2 linked regions of the Nothobranchius furzeri genome follow. The protein of the gene in region 2 interacts with the protein of the main gene of each other region in a pairwise test. Links are inferred from orthologs where the notes say so. Each region holds a gene or a part of one and is shown on either strand. Other genes may lie near its edges.

Region 1 (7,546 bases), about 39 Mb from region 2:
ATTTGCACAGAACGTAACCCCCTACCCTGCTCTGCTGTGCTGTAGAAGTACTTGTAGTTGGGATTCCCATTTTTGTTGCTGATTTCTGGATGGACTTTGCCTCTCGGATCTGTAAGTGGAACAAACAGGTTTTTTAGTAGTATGGTGCACGTTTATTGATGCTCCTTGAGTGTATGCAGGCTTTTAAATGTGATCAGCAGGGCAAAAGGGACCAGCAGCAAATTCCCAGGGAGCTGTCCCACCGATGGGATTCCTGTCAGGACATGTTTAAAGGCCCCGGTGTGATCCCGCTCCAAGAGCTGCTCAGGCTCTGCTATAGTATGTCGCTTCTTGAAGAGCCACTGCTTTTTTATCGTAAAGATCTCAATCGGGTTTTATGCAAATGAGTTCATACCGAGGAAAAGAATCCGAGGAATGTATCCACCGTCTGGGCTGAAGGCTTCATCCTTGGGCTCCTCTTCATCCTGTCATAAACAGTTACAACTTTAACTACCTGATGCATGACTGCTGCTTTAAGGAAAATGAAAACAAAATTAAACCAATTGCTGTTTCTCACCTCCACATTCACCATTACAAAGTTGTGTGCCAGTTCAGAGATTTCCTTGGATTCAGCAAATTTGGGCTTCAGGGCTGATTTGTAACAAATAAGAAAAGAAAGTTATTTAAAAATGTGACTCTTCTTATCTCTACTTGATAGTTTTAGAGTAAAAACTTTGAACATTCTGAAAAGAAGCCTTTCACAGAGCGAAAGCCGGTATGGGCCATTGCCTTCCTTGTTTTTGAGGAAAATCTGAGCTAAATGACAACTTCCTGGAAGTACTTCTGTGTTTTGGGATTGGCAAAAAAAAAAACTAAAACCAGATGGAAGTAACTCCAAGATCAAACGCCTCACAAGTCGGACCAACTTCACTGTTGCTTGTATTATTTATGAGTGCCAGTGGACACCAGAGTTTTGTCTGGCATTCCCAGAAAAAGAAACAGTAAGTAAATACCTTTGCAGGCTCCACACCAGCTCTTGTGGATGATGAGCATGATCGGCAGCCCGCTGTCAATTCACCAACATGGACACATGCATCAAAGTCAGTCAGAACAGTAAATATACAACGTAGACTTTCTTTATATAAACCGGAAATGCAAGATTTTTAAAAGGAAGGGAGTTGGGACCCAAATGAAAATGTTTCTTGTTCCTCCAGATAATATTTACACAAGAGGCTTCAAACAGGAAGCTACCTGGCTTCAGCTTCCTTCTTCCCATCTTCCAGCGTCCTCCAGTGGATATTGTCCCCAAATCCTGCAGGGTTCATGAGCACAACAGCATTGTGTAACTGGAGTTAAATTTCCACACAAGGGTGGGTCTGGCCTAAATACAGAATCAATACAAAGAACTGGGACAAATAACTAATATAACTGGTATGTTATGTTAAGGCTAAACTTTTAAGTAAAATAAAATCAATTATTTTAAGAATTGAACGAGAAACTTAATGGTTACTTTCTGTTTTGGTGGAGATAATTATTAATTTAATCAAATTGAATCGGAATTAAACAATACAGGTTTAACAGACCTAAAGTATTGTTTTATTTTTGCTTTAAGTCAAATGAGGTGTTTGTAGAAGAAGAAGTATCATTTCTATAGCGCCTCTCAAGATAAAAATCACGAGGCGCTTCACAAAAACAAAAAATGTAAAAATATAAAAAATAATTTAGAAAATGTTTAAAAATATATTTAAAATGAGCAAAAAATAGACAATTGTGATTAAAAAATGTAAAGAAAGAAAGAAAGTGAACAGGAAAGAGGGGAATCAGTGGACGAGGAAGGTGAAATAGGTAGGGAGAGCAGAATAAAGAGAGTGGTGAAGAAGAAGTTATACAAAAGCCAGCTTGAACAGGTGAGTTTGAAAGCTGCTTTTTAAAGGAGACCACTGAGTCCACTGATCTCAGGCTCAGGGGGTAGTCTTGTAGAATTAACTTTTTCGTGTAAGATTTATTAAAATGCATAAAATACATTTTCAAGAAATAAAGCATGAGTGTCTGGAAGTGAAACAAGTTAGTGACACTAGACACAACACGCCTGTTTATTAGTCTTCAAGGACGCACACAATGTGATCCGGGATGCTGACAAAGAACAGCAGCTCTCATTTCTACCACACTTTCAATGAAGCTGCTCCAGCCTGCTTAAAAAACTTATTTTCTCCTATATATGAACTCACCTCTCCCACTGGCGGCTTCCGCAACCACATCAAAACACGAAAAAGACAATAAAACCTGGAAAAAGGAGAAAGCAGCGACATTTACTACAGACAGTTGCATGTTTATTGCCTTTCTTTCCCACAACTGCGGCTAGCAGGCAATGGTAGTAATGGAAAGCTCAATAGTCAGTGACCCGGATGTGCAACCGCAACATTTCACAATAAAGGTTTTGTCTCGGAATAAAAATCTTAACAGCGCGCATGCTAGCCATGGTAGCGCGCGCGTGTGTCTCGCTTGCTATTGGCCACCAGCTTTTTTTTTTCCCATTTAGAGACGCGTTCACGTGACATTACATCTACACAACCGCGTGCTCTTCAATGCAGTGTTATGTCAAGCTAGACAAACAATGTTGGTATAAAACCGGAAATGACGACGAAAATTGCAAAAAATAAGTTAACCAAAGGAAAGCAGAAAGTTGTAAGTAATTAAGTTTTTGTTATTAAATCTTTGCTATGTATATATTAAATTTATTTCGTTAGTAAAATAGCATTTTTCCCCAAATTTGTGTAAAGTAATTACAATTTCTGCACGTGGATGAGATTTATTTGGCAAAATAATCACCGGAAGTTGTATGTTAGACTACTAATTTGACTGGTGTCTAATCCGTCTTGCTCCGTTCCTAGCAAACACAGTTCAACGGGCTGTTAATTCACAATCAGAGGTAAATATACCGTTTAAATTAGCGCTAAATATTTTATTTGATGTTGTGAAAGCCGTATCTTTTGGTGTGGCTCAGGCTTTAAATAGATAGTCAAAGTTATTTCACGGCATTATTTTACCGTTAGCGTTAGCTCAGTCTACCTCGATATTTCTCAACTAGCTAGCTTCAGTTAAGCACCAACGTAAGTTTAAAATAACTCATTAATTAATTAAATTAATTTCTTTATTTTGCTTTGTTTAAATTAATTTCTTTGATTTGATGGGGTTCATGTGAGTAAAAATGCTAACTGGCTTGTCTAAATTCTGCTAACCTGCTGCTAAGGTGTGAAGAAAGGGCTCTTGCCCAACACACTGCTTAGCTAGCATTCTTGTGTCTGAACGGCTAGCTGGTTGGGCGGTGTAAACTTGTATATTTGGGTTTTTAACGAGGATTTAATTTTTATTTTATTTGTTTTATTAAACCAACAGAACATTATGAATCAAGAGAAGCTGGCCAAACTTCAAGCTCAGGTCCGGATAGGAGGAAAGGTACAATTTAAAGCTTGACTTTTTGTTGTAGTTCCAGATGTGATGACAAATGTTTAGTAGTACTTGATTAAAATTAGTCGGACATTTTATTTTAAGAAGTTTAAAGGTATTTGGAGTCGGCCAAATCTTTTCTACTGACTTCAGCATTCTCTTTGTTAGGTGAAGCTCTGGCCCCTGCATCTGTGACCTTTGTGGCTTTGTGGCATTAACCGTCAGGTCTTCAGCCACACACTAGATGGCATTATTTTTAATTTTGTTGGGAAAAGTTCTTCCGGCTCCAGCAGCCACATAACATTTTCTACAATAAAAAAAATACTATCAATTAAAAATATAGTCCTTCCCTGGCCTTCCTTTTGCGACTAATGTCCTTATTGTTATTAATTTCTACATTAAATACGTGAAACCGTGTAAAAATCAGGGTAGTGCAGAGAGCTTTGAAGGGGCGAGCGCTCAAAGTTAAAAAGGGGGCACTTATAGAACAAAACTTTTAAACAGATTCATGATCCAACAAGTTTCAAGATTCAGATATTCAGAAATGAACGAAATTGAACTACAGAACCTCTGCACGGACAAAACGTCAAAAACACTAAATCAAAATACTTCAATAAATGGGACACATCCTGGCTGCAAAGCATTGCACCTTAAAATACAAAATTTTGTTTTTACTTGTGTTTATGTAGACAGATAAACTTGTTATGATATGTAGATAAATATGTAGATACATAAACTTGTTTATATTCAGTACAAGTTACATAGATTTTTTTCTTTGCTTCCGTTTGTTGAAAAATGAGAAAAGCCCCTTGAGAAAATAATCGTGAATTAAATCGCAATTGCAATATTGAAGAAAAAAATCGCTATTAGATTATTTTCCAAAATCGTTCAGCCCTAGAAGGATACAAATTTCTATCTCAGCCAGCTGGGGGTGTTGTCAGTTGTGCTCGGTTTGCAGAGTCTGCGCCAGCTAATGCTGCAGCGCAGGTACTGAGATACATATCAGAGCAGCATATATGCAATTGATGCACATTCGTGCACACGCACATTCATCTAAACCTCCGCTATGTTCTGAAGAGCTATCAGTTCAGCATACAGATGGCAAAGTCACACTGTTGTTAAAAACAAACTGTATGATCCGACTGGTAAAATGAGCATATTAGTGTGTCATACGATTGATAAAACAAAATGTGTGGTGATCTGATGGCTAAAATGGCTTATTAGGATGTCATGCAGTTACTAAAACAAAGCTTATGTTGATCAGACTGATAGGACCATCCATCAGTGTCATGCAGTTGTTCTACACAAAGTATATGATGATCTGATGGGTAAACTGGCACATCAAAGTGCCATACAGCTCAAAAAAGGCATGATTTGACAGACGTGTTGTCAGGTGGGCATATGCTGGGGTTGAGCAATATATCAAAAATGTATCGTTATTGAACTGTCTGACACTAGTTGATATTGTTTTTTCCATGTAAATGAATTTGATAACAAAAAAAATGAAAAGATGTGTGTAGGTTGGCCACGTTCATGTCCCTTTAAGAAGCTGTACCACCTCGAGTCATGTGACGTGACTCGCATAATACACGTGACAGCCCCCATCTAGTGGACAACTTTCTGTGTATACATGTAGTTATCGTCCATTTATCGAGGTGAACGCCTCACTATACTGTGATATTGATTTTAGGCCACATCGTCTAACTCATTATGCTGGAATATACACATATATTTTGAAGAATGGGGAAAAGCTGTGCTTTAAGAGCAAGTCACCACCAAATCAACTTCTTTTTTGCTGATAAAATATATAAATGAGTGTCTAACCATGCTGTAGACATGTGTAGTCAATAATTTGGCACTTTAGTGCATTTTCATTCATTTAAATATTCTGCCTGAAACTGTCAGTGTTGCGCTGTCGTCAGGTAAAAACTCTGCACTACATTTGATTTTAAATCTGCTATTGCTACTGGCTAAGAGGTACACAATGACATTAGCTGGTACCATATGATGTCACAATGCTGTTGGGAGCATGTTTGTGTGCATTTGTTTGCAGCTCCGCCCTCTTGTCTGTCAGGCAACAGCATTTGTTGCATTTTTCACACATGAAGTGGGAGTAAGTTTGTTTCTTGTAGGGGGTGACTTGGTCTTTAAAAAAGCTTTTATGCCCAAATTATATATGAAAAATCTGTGTGGCAATCTTAAGGGAGACTGTGGTTTTAGCTAAATGCAGAATTTATCAGTTTTTGCCATTTTATGAGTTAAATGAACCATTCTTACAACATGTAATGTGATGTCAGAAATGTATGACTGAGAATCTTAATCACACCGGATATGGAAACCTGTTAGATTTAATGTCCTGGTTCAGTATGCATTTGATCTCCTCCTAGGGGACCGCACGCAGGAAGAAAAAGGTTGTTCACAAAACGGCGACAGCTGATGACAAAAAGCTGCAGGGCTCGCTGAAGAAACTGGCAGTGAACAACATTGCTGGGATAGAAGAGGTGAGACATCAAAGGAACATGGATGACACCATCGTGGTTTTTTAAATATATTTTTGTCTTTGAAAGTTGAATCTTTTATCAGTGATGTGCCATGAGGCATAAAACAGGATGGAAGCCTGAGTTAAGGGTTCTCCCCAAGATCTGGCTTATTTTTAGAAAGCTCTCAGCGGCTACACCTACCTCAAAATGTTTGAGAATACAAACAAAAAAAAAAACATACAGATGTGGGATTTTTGCATTGACTTCTCTCATCCATCCCGTTTTCCCCACCCTTAAAGGTGAATATGATAAAAGACGATGGGACGGTAATTCACTTCAACAACCCCAAAGTTCAGGCGTCTCTGTCTGCCAACACCTTTGCCATCACGGGCCACGCTGAGACCAAACAGCTGACGGAGATGCTGCCGGGCATCCTGAGCCAGCTGGGAGCTGACAGCCTCAGCAGTCTGCGCAAGCTGGCCGAGCAGTTCCCTCGACAATGTGAGCACACGCAAACCGCATGTGAACTGTGTCAAATTTCAGCTTTGAAGTCACTCAGGAGGATTTTCTGTCAAATGAACGACTGAAAGCAAAAGCTTTATCACCACCTGTAGGACTGGAAAGAAATGGTAAACCCATAAGTTGTAAACAGTTGCAGATGACCCAGAATTGGCCTCACAGCCAGTTTTCTACACACAGGAGCCATGTTGGATCATTAGTACTGTTGAATGTGAGTCAGGGACCCACCCTGTCCTGCCGGTCATTGACTTACTCAACCTAGACATGGAGGCTTTTCCTGTTTAACAGGAATCGCGTCTTCTCTGCTGTCCCCCGATGTGTCTCTGAAGACACGTGGACATCTGAGTCCTGACCCGAGGAACCGGTTCTTGTTAGTTTGTGATAAGTGTACTGTTACTCTTTCACGGTTAAATAAAAAAACACGTGAATTTAAATCAATTGGACACAAAATATATATATATACATTTGATGCGATATGCATTTGGATTACTTACATTACTTTGATCTTAATTCCCACTTTTGAAGAGCGCTTGAGGGCTTAAACGTTCTCCTGTGACATTTATTAAACTCCCACCTTGCTGACACACATCTGTGTCAGACATTAGCATCTGTTCTTTGTCGAATTTGCTTAAAACAAACTGAATATTCAGCATGTTTCTGTGCAGTTGAGCAGATTTTCTGTGACATGTTTTGTTTTTGAGTGACTGGAGGACAGGAGGAAAAGTACCGTGACCTCAGCAAACCTGCACCAATAAATGAAGACACCGATTTTAGGAACTCTAGTGAAAAAAGGGAACATTCTGGAGTCATTGTGGGTCATAGAGGTCTGGATGATTCTCATAGAAATGGTTCAGGTTTTATGTTAAGAAAAGCAAACGTGTAGAGAAAATTGGGCCTTTTGCATCCTTAAAGATTAAAACAAAACATTTTAGGTTTTGATAATAAAGTCATTTTTAGGTTTTGACTTTTAACATTGGCATTTGTTTCAACAGCCATGGAAATGAAAGCTGTCAAAGAGGAAAATGCAGAAGAAGAGGATGACGATGTACCAGGTAGAGATGCATAATTACTTTAATTTTGTGGAAAAATATCACAATTTTTACTTTTCCCTAATTGTATTG
Region 2 (7,599 bases):
AGTTGCACTTGACAGCAGAAATGCAGCACGGAGACGCACACAGGACAGAAGCGTACTCACCAGGTCGGCGTACTTCTTGCAGAGACCTGCCAGCTTTTCCTCCGGCGTGCTTAGCGTGTTTAACGTCTGCATGAGAACGGTGATCTCTTTGCCTGATTGGATCAAGACAACAGAAGCTGTTAGGTGAAGGAAAATAACGGGCCTACAGAACATTTAACACAGTTCAGTTCCTCACCCAGGCCCTTCACTTTCTTCTTGTCTTGACTCTTCTTCTGCTCTTTCTCAGCACCGCTGTGACCCCCGTTGACTTTTTCTGCCTTTGGGTTGTCTCCATCCTTCTCACACATCAGCCCGTTGAAAACTGGGCTGTGAGACTGACCGTTGAGCAAGGCACTGGCTTCGTCTGAAATGGTTTCACTGCAGTACGTGCTGAGGATGTCCTCCAGCTGCCGGCTCAGCTCCTCAGCCATGTCGCGCTGGGACAGGGGCGCTGCTGCAGCCGGGGGCGCTAACGCTGACCCAGGCAGAGTTTCTACCAGAAAAACATTCAAATAGGATTTCAGAAACTTCCTGGAACACGTTGCATGAAAGGGGATTTAGTTTGTGACTAAAAAACTTACTATTATGGCTTATGAGGTGGACTTCAGTCCTCCGCTGCTGTTTATTCTCTGCTGTCGCCCACCGAACTACAATTCCAACTTTCTATCGGAATTTTCTGATCTTTTAACAGACTTTCTTCCAAAATATGACCGTGGGATTATGCTTGGTGATTTTAATATACATGTTTGCTGCCCTGACAAACCTCTTGTTGGTGGCTTTTTAGACATTTTAGATTGTTTTGGTCTCCAGCAACAGGTCCAGTCACCCACCCATTCAGGATCGCACGTTTTAGACTTGGTTTTGTCATTTGGGATCTGTATCTCGGATCTGACTTTTGACTCTGCATGTATCTCTGATCATTCTATTATTATTTTTAATATCTGTGGCTTGACACCTCCATCCACTAGGCAACATAATCAACACCTCACAAGAATAATTTCCCCTTTTCACCACCAATCTACTAGCATCTAGCCTAGCTGTGACTCTATGCACTTCCCAACCTGATTCCACCTGTGTAGGAGCTGCTGACCTCTTTCAACTCTACCTGCTCAACTGTTTTAAATGCAGTCGCTCCTCTAAGATCCAGGCATAAAAAACTGTGGCAGACCCTTGGCTCAATGAGGAGACTCGTGCCCTAAGACGCCAATGTAGGGTCTGCGAACGCCGGTGGCGGAAGGACAAGCTGCAAATCTCCTACCAGTCATTCAAGGATCCTTTGACCCGCTATCAGAAAGCTGTCCGCACAGCTAGAAACAGATATTTTGCAAATATAATCACTAGGCATAAAAACGACCAGAAGAAACTGTACAGTGTCCTCACCTCTGTACTATCGCTTAGAGAATCTCCCAACTCTTGTCCCTCTACAGGGGCTCTTTGCAATGAGTTTCAAAACTTTTTCCTGCATAAAATCCAGGAAATTAGAACAGCTTCTCTTACTCAGGCTGGGTTACCTGTGTGGAACCTCACTGTCCGCCCTCATTCTCTTGCTTTGCTCATGTGACACCCTCTTCCCTGGTTGATCTAATCTTGGCTATGAAGCCCTCAGGCTCTCCAGAGGACAGCCTTCCTCCAAGACTGCTGCGCGATGTCCTTCCAGCGGTGGCCCCTGCTGTTGTGTCAATTCCAGCTTCTCCTCTGGTGTGTTTCCAGCTGCTTTTAAAAATGCCGTTGTTCAGCCGCTACTGAAGAAACCAGGCCTTGACCAGTCTGACTGTGCCAGTTATCGCCCAATCTCAAAACTTCCATTCATCTCAAAAGTAGTTGAGAAACTGGCTCTCACGCAGCTTACTTCTCACCTAGATGACAGTGGGCTTCTTGACCCATTCCAGTCAGGTTTTAGACGTAATTACAGCACAGAGTCTGCACACATTCAGGTACTCAATGACATCCTGATTCTGACTGACTCTGGCTCCCATGTGCGGTTACTCTTACTCGACCTGACCGCAGCATCCTACTTCACAGACTCCAATTTTGGGTGGGTGTGACCGGTACTGCCCTGGAATGGTTTAAGTCGTACCTTAATGGTCGGTGTTTTAGTGTTCATGTTAGAGACTGCTCTTCTCCCAATGTCCCACTTCCATGGGGAGTACCACAGGGCTCCATCCTGGGTCCTCTCCTCTTTTCAATTTACATACTAGCACTTGGTAAGATTTTAGCAAGTCTCGTCGGGGTTAACTACCACTTTTATGCAGATGATTGCCAGATCTACCTTCAAATCAACCAACAGCACTCATTTTCTATAATGTCAGAATGCCTCTCCCAGGTCAGATCCTGGCTTTCTCAAAACTGCCTACGGTTAAATGACAGCAAATCAGATGCCATACTTTTTAGCCCCACTAACATGAATGGTGCTTTAGATGTCTCAACTCTCCCACTCAATCTCAAATCAGGTGCCACTAGCCTAGGTGTGACACTGGACTCTGACCTTTCAATGTCTTCACAAGTCAACGCTACTGTCAAGTCCTGCTTTTTCCAACTCCGCCGCATCACTCGTCTTAAGTCAATCCTCAAACGCCCGCATCTTGAGTCAGTCATTCATGCTTTCATTACTTCACGTCTGGATTACGCAAATTCTGTCCTGATTGGGATTAATGCTTCAGCCTTAAGCAAACTGCAGAAGGTTCAAAATGCCGCGGCCAGATTTTTAACCAACACCGACAGACGCATGCACATCACACCCATCCTCGCAGATTTACACTGGCTCCCAGTCTAATTTAGGATTAACTTCAAGGTCCTGTTATATGTTTACAAGGCTTTGTACTGCCCATCCCCATCCTATCTGATGGACCTGCTGACCCCATATGTTCCCACCCGTGCCCTTCGGTCAGCAGATCATCTGCTGCTTGTTGTTCCGAAGGTTTGGTACAAATCACGGGGGGAGCGTGCCTTCTCTTATTCAGCCCAAAACTCTGGAACTCCCTGCCCCTCCGTGTGCGTCTGGCTCCCTCTGTTAGCAGTTTCAAGTCGGCCCTGAAAACGCACTTCTTTAGCATTGCCTTGCCTCCGTGACACTTTTCATGACAATCTAGCACCGGATTTGAGTTTTTAATTCCATTTTTATGATTTAGTTGCTCACTTTTGGCACCTCGCACCATCTGGTATTTTATTTCGGTTTATTTGGGACATTTCAAATGTTTTTATTATTCGTCGCATTATTTTATTTTTATAGTGCTGTTAACTGTTCTATTTTATGGTTTTTAGTAGGAATTTTTATCTCCGACTATTTATGCTTTGTTCTTATGTTTTTTGCCTGTTCTTATTGTGGTTCTTGGTCAAGCATTTGGCTTTTTTTATGTACAGCACTTTGGTTAGCTGCCATGCTATTTTGAAATGGTGCTTTATAAATAAATAAATATGGTATGGTATGGTATGTGTCCCACACAGTCACGCGGAAAACTGTTGGGATTCATTTGTTTATGATGTGCCTTCTAAAAGGAATCGCACTTGAGGCATTAAAACAATTATCACAATATCATCAAGGACGTGATGGCCTACTTTTATTTAAATGTTGAAGTAAGTTTGTTCTTGACACAACGTTACAGTAATGAGAAAATACCCCAAAACTAATTTATTATGGATCTCTTAACCTTAAAAACTCTTGTTTATTAAACTGTGTGATTGTGTTTAATGACATCAGTGCATAAAATAACTTGTCGGCAGCATCAGGACATATAACAATAAAAATGACATAATCTAGATATGTATGGATTGAGTACACGTGAAGAATGAAGACCATTTTATTGTACAAGTAAAGCTTTGATTGCATCAATAAAAGTTTGACTTCTAGTATGTTAATCTTGAAACCAGATGACATCAGGTATTACTGACAAGATTCTCCACTTCAGTCTGATGACAACCAAACCATTAATTAGGTTTGTGCTGTTTCATCTAATTTGTTCTAAAACTGAGAATTCACACAGTGTGACGGACGAGTAAGAAAGTCAAACCAAAGGCAGTTCACCTCCGCTTTCCCCCTGCTGTTCCTGTGGTGGAGGGCCAGCCTGTGGCTCCATCTCTCTGGGGCTGCTGCCTTCAGCAGGTGCAGGTGGAAGTGGAGCGTCCGTGTCTCCAGCTGCAGGTGGAGGAGCCTCGCTGCCCGGGCTGGTAGACTCTTCCGTGTCTTGATTTTTCATGTTTAGCTCTTTGAATAAAAGACGAAACTAACGCTGAGTCTAAATAAGGCTTTGACAATAAAATACACCAACTGTTCAGACGATAAAGTTCTTTAAAATCACGCATAAAATCGAAAATATTAGCACGTTTCTGGATACATAGACATGGCGTTTATGTACAAAACGGAAAACAAATGTGTACTTTCACTTCGGACCATTTTCAGTTTCCATTAGCTTCCAGATTACATTAGCTGGCACAGGCTAGCCCTCGTTAGCAGTTACGCACGCAGCTAAAATTGTCTTGAACTACTTTCACCCAACCGGTGTTACTTTGTACCATAAAAGAAAAAACAGAAAACTACTAAAGCTATGGCGACGCGAAACGTTACCTCATTCCCCTGACTCTACGGTTAACACAGACTTGTTTACCTGAAGACTCCAGGAGGAAACGGCTAATTTTTCTGAGCTGCAGGTTTCTTGAACAGCGTGTAGCTGACTGGCTTAGAAAAAAAAAACAACTTCCGGTCATAACTTTGATTCTTCTTCTTTGACTTTTCAATGGTGGTTTCAAATGGTGATATGGTGCATTACCGCCACCAACTTCTTTCTGCTATGTAAAAAAAAATACTAGCAAGAAAGTGATAAAACTGGTAAAAACCAATTAAACATTTATTGTCATTGCAGAACAGCTGTCTTGTAAATTAGTAAGACTATGGTTTACATGTGGCCTATGCTAATATAAAATTTAAGGTTTAATAATAGTAAACAGCAAGTTCACCTACTAACAAAAATGCATTTTATTTAGAAAAAATTACAGCAAGTGTTTGTACTAACTACTGAAATTTTATAAATGTAGTTCCCTCTTCCTCCCTGGGCTGCCACCTTACCGTGGTGGAGGGGTTTGAGTGTCCCAATGATCCTAGGAGCTAAATGAGGCTTTATGCCTCTGGTAGGGTTACCCATGGCAAACAGGTCCTAGGTGAGGGATCGGACAAAGAGCAGCCCAAAGACCTCTTATGATGAATAAAATAAATGGAAACCGTGTTCCCTCGCCCGGACGTGGGTCACTGGGGCCCCCCTCTGGAGCCAAGCCTAGAGGTGGGCCACGTAGGCGAGCGCCTGCTGGCCGGGTTTTCACCCATGGAGCCCGGCCGGGCACAGCCCGATGAGGAAACGTGGGTTCCCCTTCCCATGGGCTCACCACTCGTGGGAGGGGCCAAAGGGGTCAGGTGCAGTGTGTGACGGGTGGCAGACGAGGGCTGGGACCTTGGCGGTCTGATCCCCGGCTACAGAAGCTGGCTCTTGGCACAAGGAATGTCACCTCTGGTGGGGAAGGAGCCTGAGTTGGTGTGTGAGGTTGAGAGATTCCGACTAGCTATAGTCTGACTCACCTCAACGTATGGCTCTGGCTCTGGAACCAGTTTCCTTGAGAGGGGCTGGGCACTCTACCACTCTGGAGTTGCTCCCACTGAGAGGCGCCGAGCAGGGGTGGGCATACTAGTTGCCCCCATCTTGGTGCCTGTACGTTGGGGTTTACCCCGGTGACTGAGAGGGTAGCCTCCCTCCGCCTACGTGTGGGGGGACGGGTTCTGACTGTGGTCTGTGCTTATGCACCAAACTACAGTTTAGACTACCCACCCTTTTTGGAGACCTTGGAGGGGGTGCTGGAGAGTGCTCCTTCCGGTGACTCCCTCGTTCTGCTGGGGGACTTTAACGCTCATGTGGGCAACGACAGTGAGACCTGGAGAGGTGTGGTTGGGAGGAACAGCCCCCCTGATCTGAATTCGAGTGGTGTTTTGTTATTAGACTTCTGTGGATTGTCCATAATGAACACCATGTTCAGACATAAAGGTGTCCATATGTGCTCTTGGCACAGGATACCTTAGGCCGCAGCTCGATGATCGACTTTGTTGTTGTTTCATCTGACTCGGGTGAAGAGAGGGGCCGAGCTGTCTACTGACCACTACCTGGTGGTGAGTTGGCTCAGATGGTGGGGGAGGATGCCGGTAAGACTAGGCAGGCCAAAACGTATTGCAAGGGTCTGCTGGGAACGCCTGTCAGAAGGAGCTTCAATTCCCACCTCCTAACTTCCAAAATGTTCCGGGGGAGGCGGGGGACCTTGAGTCTGAATGGACCCTGTTCCGTGCTTCCATTGTTAAGGCGGCCAACTAGAGCTGTGGTCGCAGGATCGTCGGTGCCTGTCGTAGTGGCAACCCCCGAACCCGCTGGTGGACACCAGGCACCAAGGCAAAAACCCGGGTGTGGGAGGAGTTCGGTGAGACCATGGAGCAAGACTTCCGTACAGCTTCGAGGAGATTCTGGTACACCATCCGGCGCCTCAGGGGTTGAAAACAGCGCACTACCAACACTATTTATAGTGGGGACGGTGTGCTGCTGACCTCTACTCAGGACGTTGTGGATCAGTGGGCAGAATACTTCGAAGACCTCCTCAATCCCACCGACACGTCTTCCAGCGAGGAAGCAGAGTCTGGGGACTTTGAGTTGGGCTCTCAAATCTCTGGTGCTGAGGTCACTGAGGTGGTTAAAAGGCTCCTCTGTGGCAAGGCCCCAGGGGTGGATGAGATCCGCTCCGAGTTCCTTAAGGCTCTGGATGTTGTGGGGCTATGTTGGCTGATATCGTGTGGACATCGGGGGCAGTTCCACTGGACTGGCAGACTGGGGTGGTGGTTCCCTTATTTAAAAATGGGGACCGCAGGGTGTGTTCCAACTACAGGAGGATCACACTCCTGAGCCTTCCTGCTAAGGTCTATTCAGGGGTTCTGGAGAGGAGGGTCCGTCGGATTGTTGATCCTCAGATTCAGGAGGAGCAATGTGGTTTTCGTTCTGGCCGTGGAACACTGGACCAGCTCTATACCCTTAGGGGGGTCCTGGAGGATGCGTGGGAATTTGCCCAACCAGTCTACATGTGTTTTGTGGATTTGGAGAAGGCGTTTGACTGCGTCCCTCGGGAGGCCCTGTGGGGGTCCTTCGGGAGTATGGGGTACCAGGCCCTCTAATACAGGCTGTTAGGTCCCTGTATGACCGGTGTCAGAGCTTGGTCCGCATTACCGGCAGTAAGTCGGGCTCGTTCCCAGTGAGAGTTGGACTCCGCCAAGGCTGCCCTTTGTCACCCATTCCGTTCATAACCTTTATGGACATGATTTCTAGGCGCAGCCAAGGTGTTGAGGGCATCCGTTTTGGTGGCCTGAGGATCAAGTTTCTGCTTTCTGCAGATGATGTGGTCCTGTTGGCTTTATCAGAACGTGATCTTCAGCTTTCGCTGGAGCGGTTTGCAGCCAAGTGTGAAGCAGCTGGGATGAGAATCAGCTCCTCTAAATCTGAGACAATGGTCTTGATTCGGAAAAGGGTAGAATGCCTTCTTCGGGCC

Evidence for each region.
Region 1: the proteins of txlna (region 2) and transcription factor BTF3 homolog 4 interact in binary tests that used the Homo sapiens proteins (3 or more experiments, as listed by UniProt). The two-hybrid records come from large-scale screens. The link is inferred for Nothobranchius furzeri from reciprocal best matches to the Homo sapiens genes TXLNA and BTF3L4.

The regions. Positions count from the first base shown.
Region 1 is NC_091751.1:41,997,272-42,004,817, forward strand, and holds the start of transcription factor BTF3 homolog 4, read left to right. Parts: upstream 1-2,670; 5' UTR 2,671-2,908; intron 2,909-3,375; 5' UTR 3,376-3,381; coding exon 3,382-3,435; intron 3,436-5,813; coding exon 5,814-5,927; intron 5,928-6,205; coding exon 6,206-6,407; intron 6,408-7,417; coding exon 7,418-7,477; intron 7,478-7,546. Other genes in the region: txndc12 (thioredoxin domain-containing protein 12), read right to left, coding at 26-109, 395-464, 557-630, 993-1,045, 1,231-1,291, 2,208-2,307.
Region 2 is NC_091751.1:3,229,305-3,236,903, reverse strand, and holds the start of txlna (alpha-taxilin), read right to left. Parts: upstream 4,754-7,599; 5' UTR 4,741-4,753; coding exon 4,641-4,740; intron 4,241-4,640; coding exon 4,061-4,240; intron 533-4,060; coding exon 236-532; intron 153-235; coding exon 61-152; intron 1-60. UniProt on the Homo sapiens protein: May be involved in intracellular vesicle traffic and potentially in calcium-dependent exocytosis in neuroendocrine cells.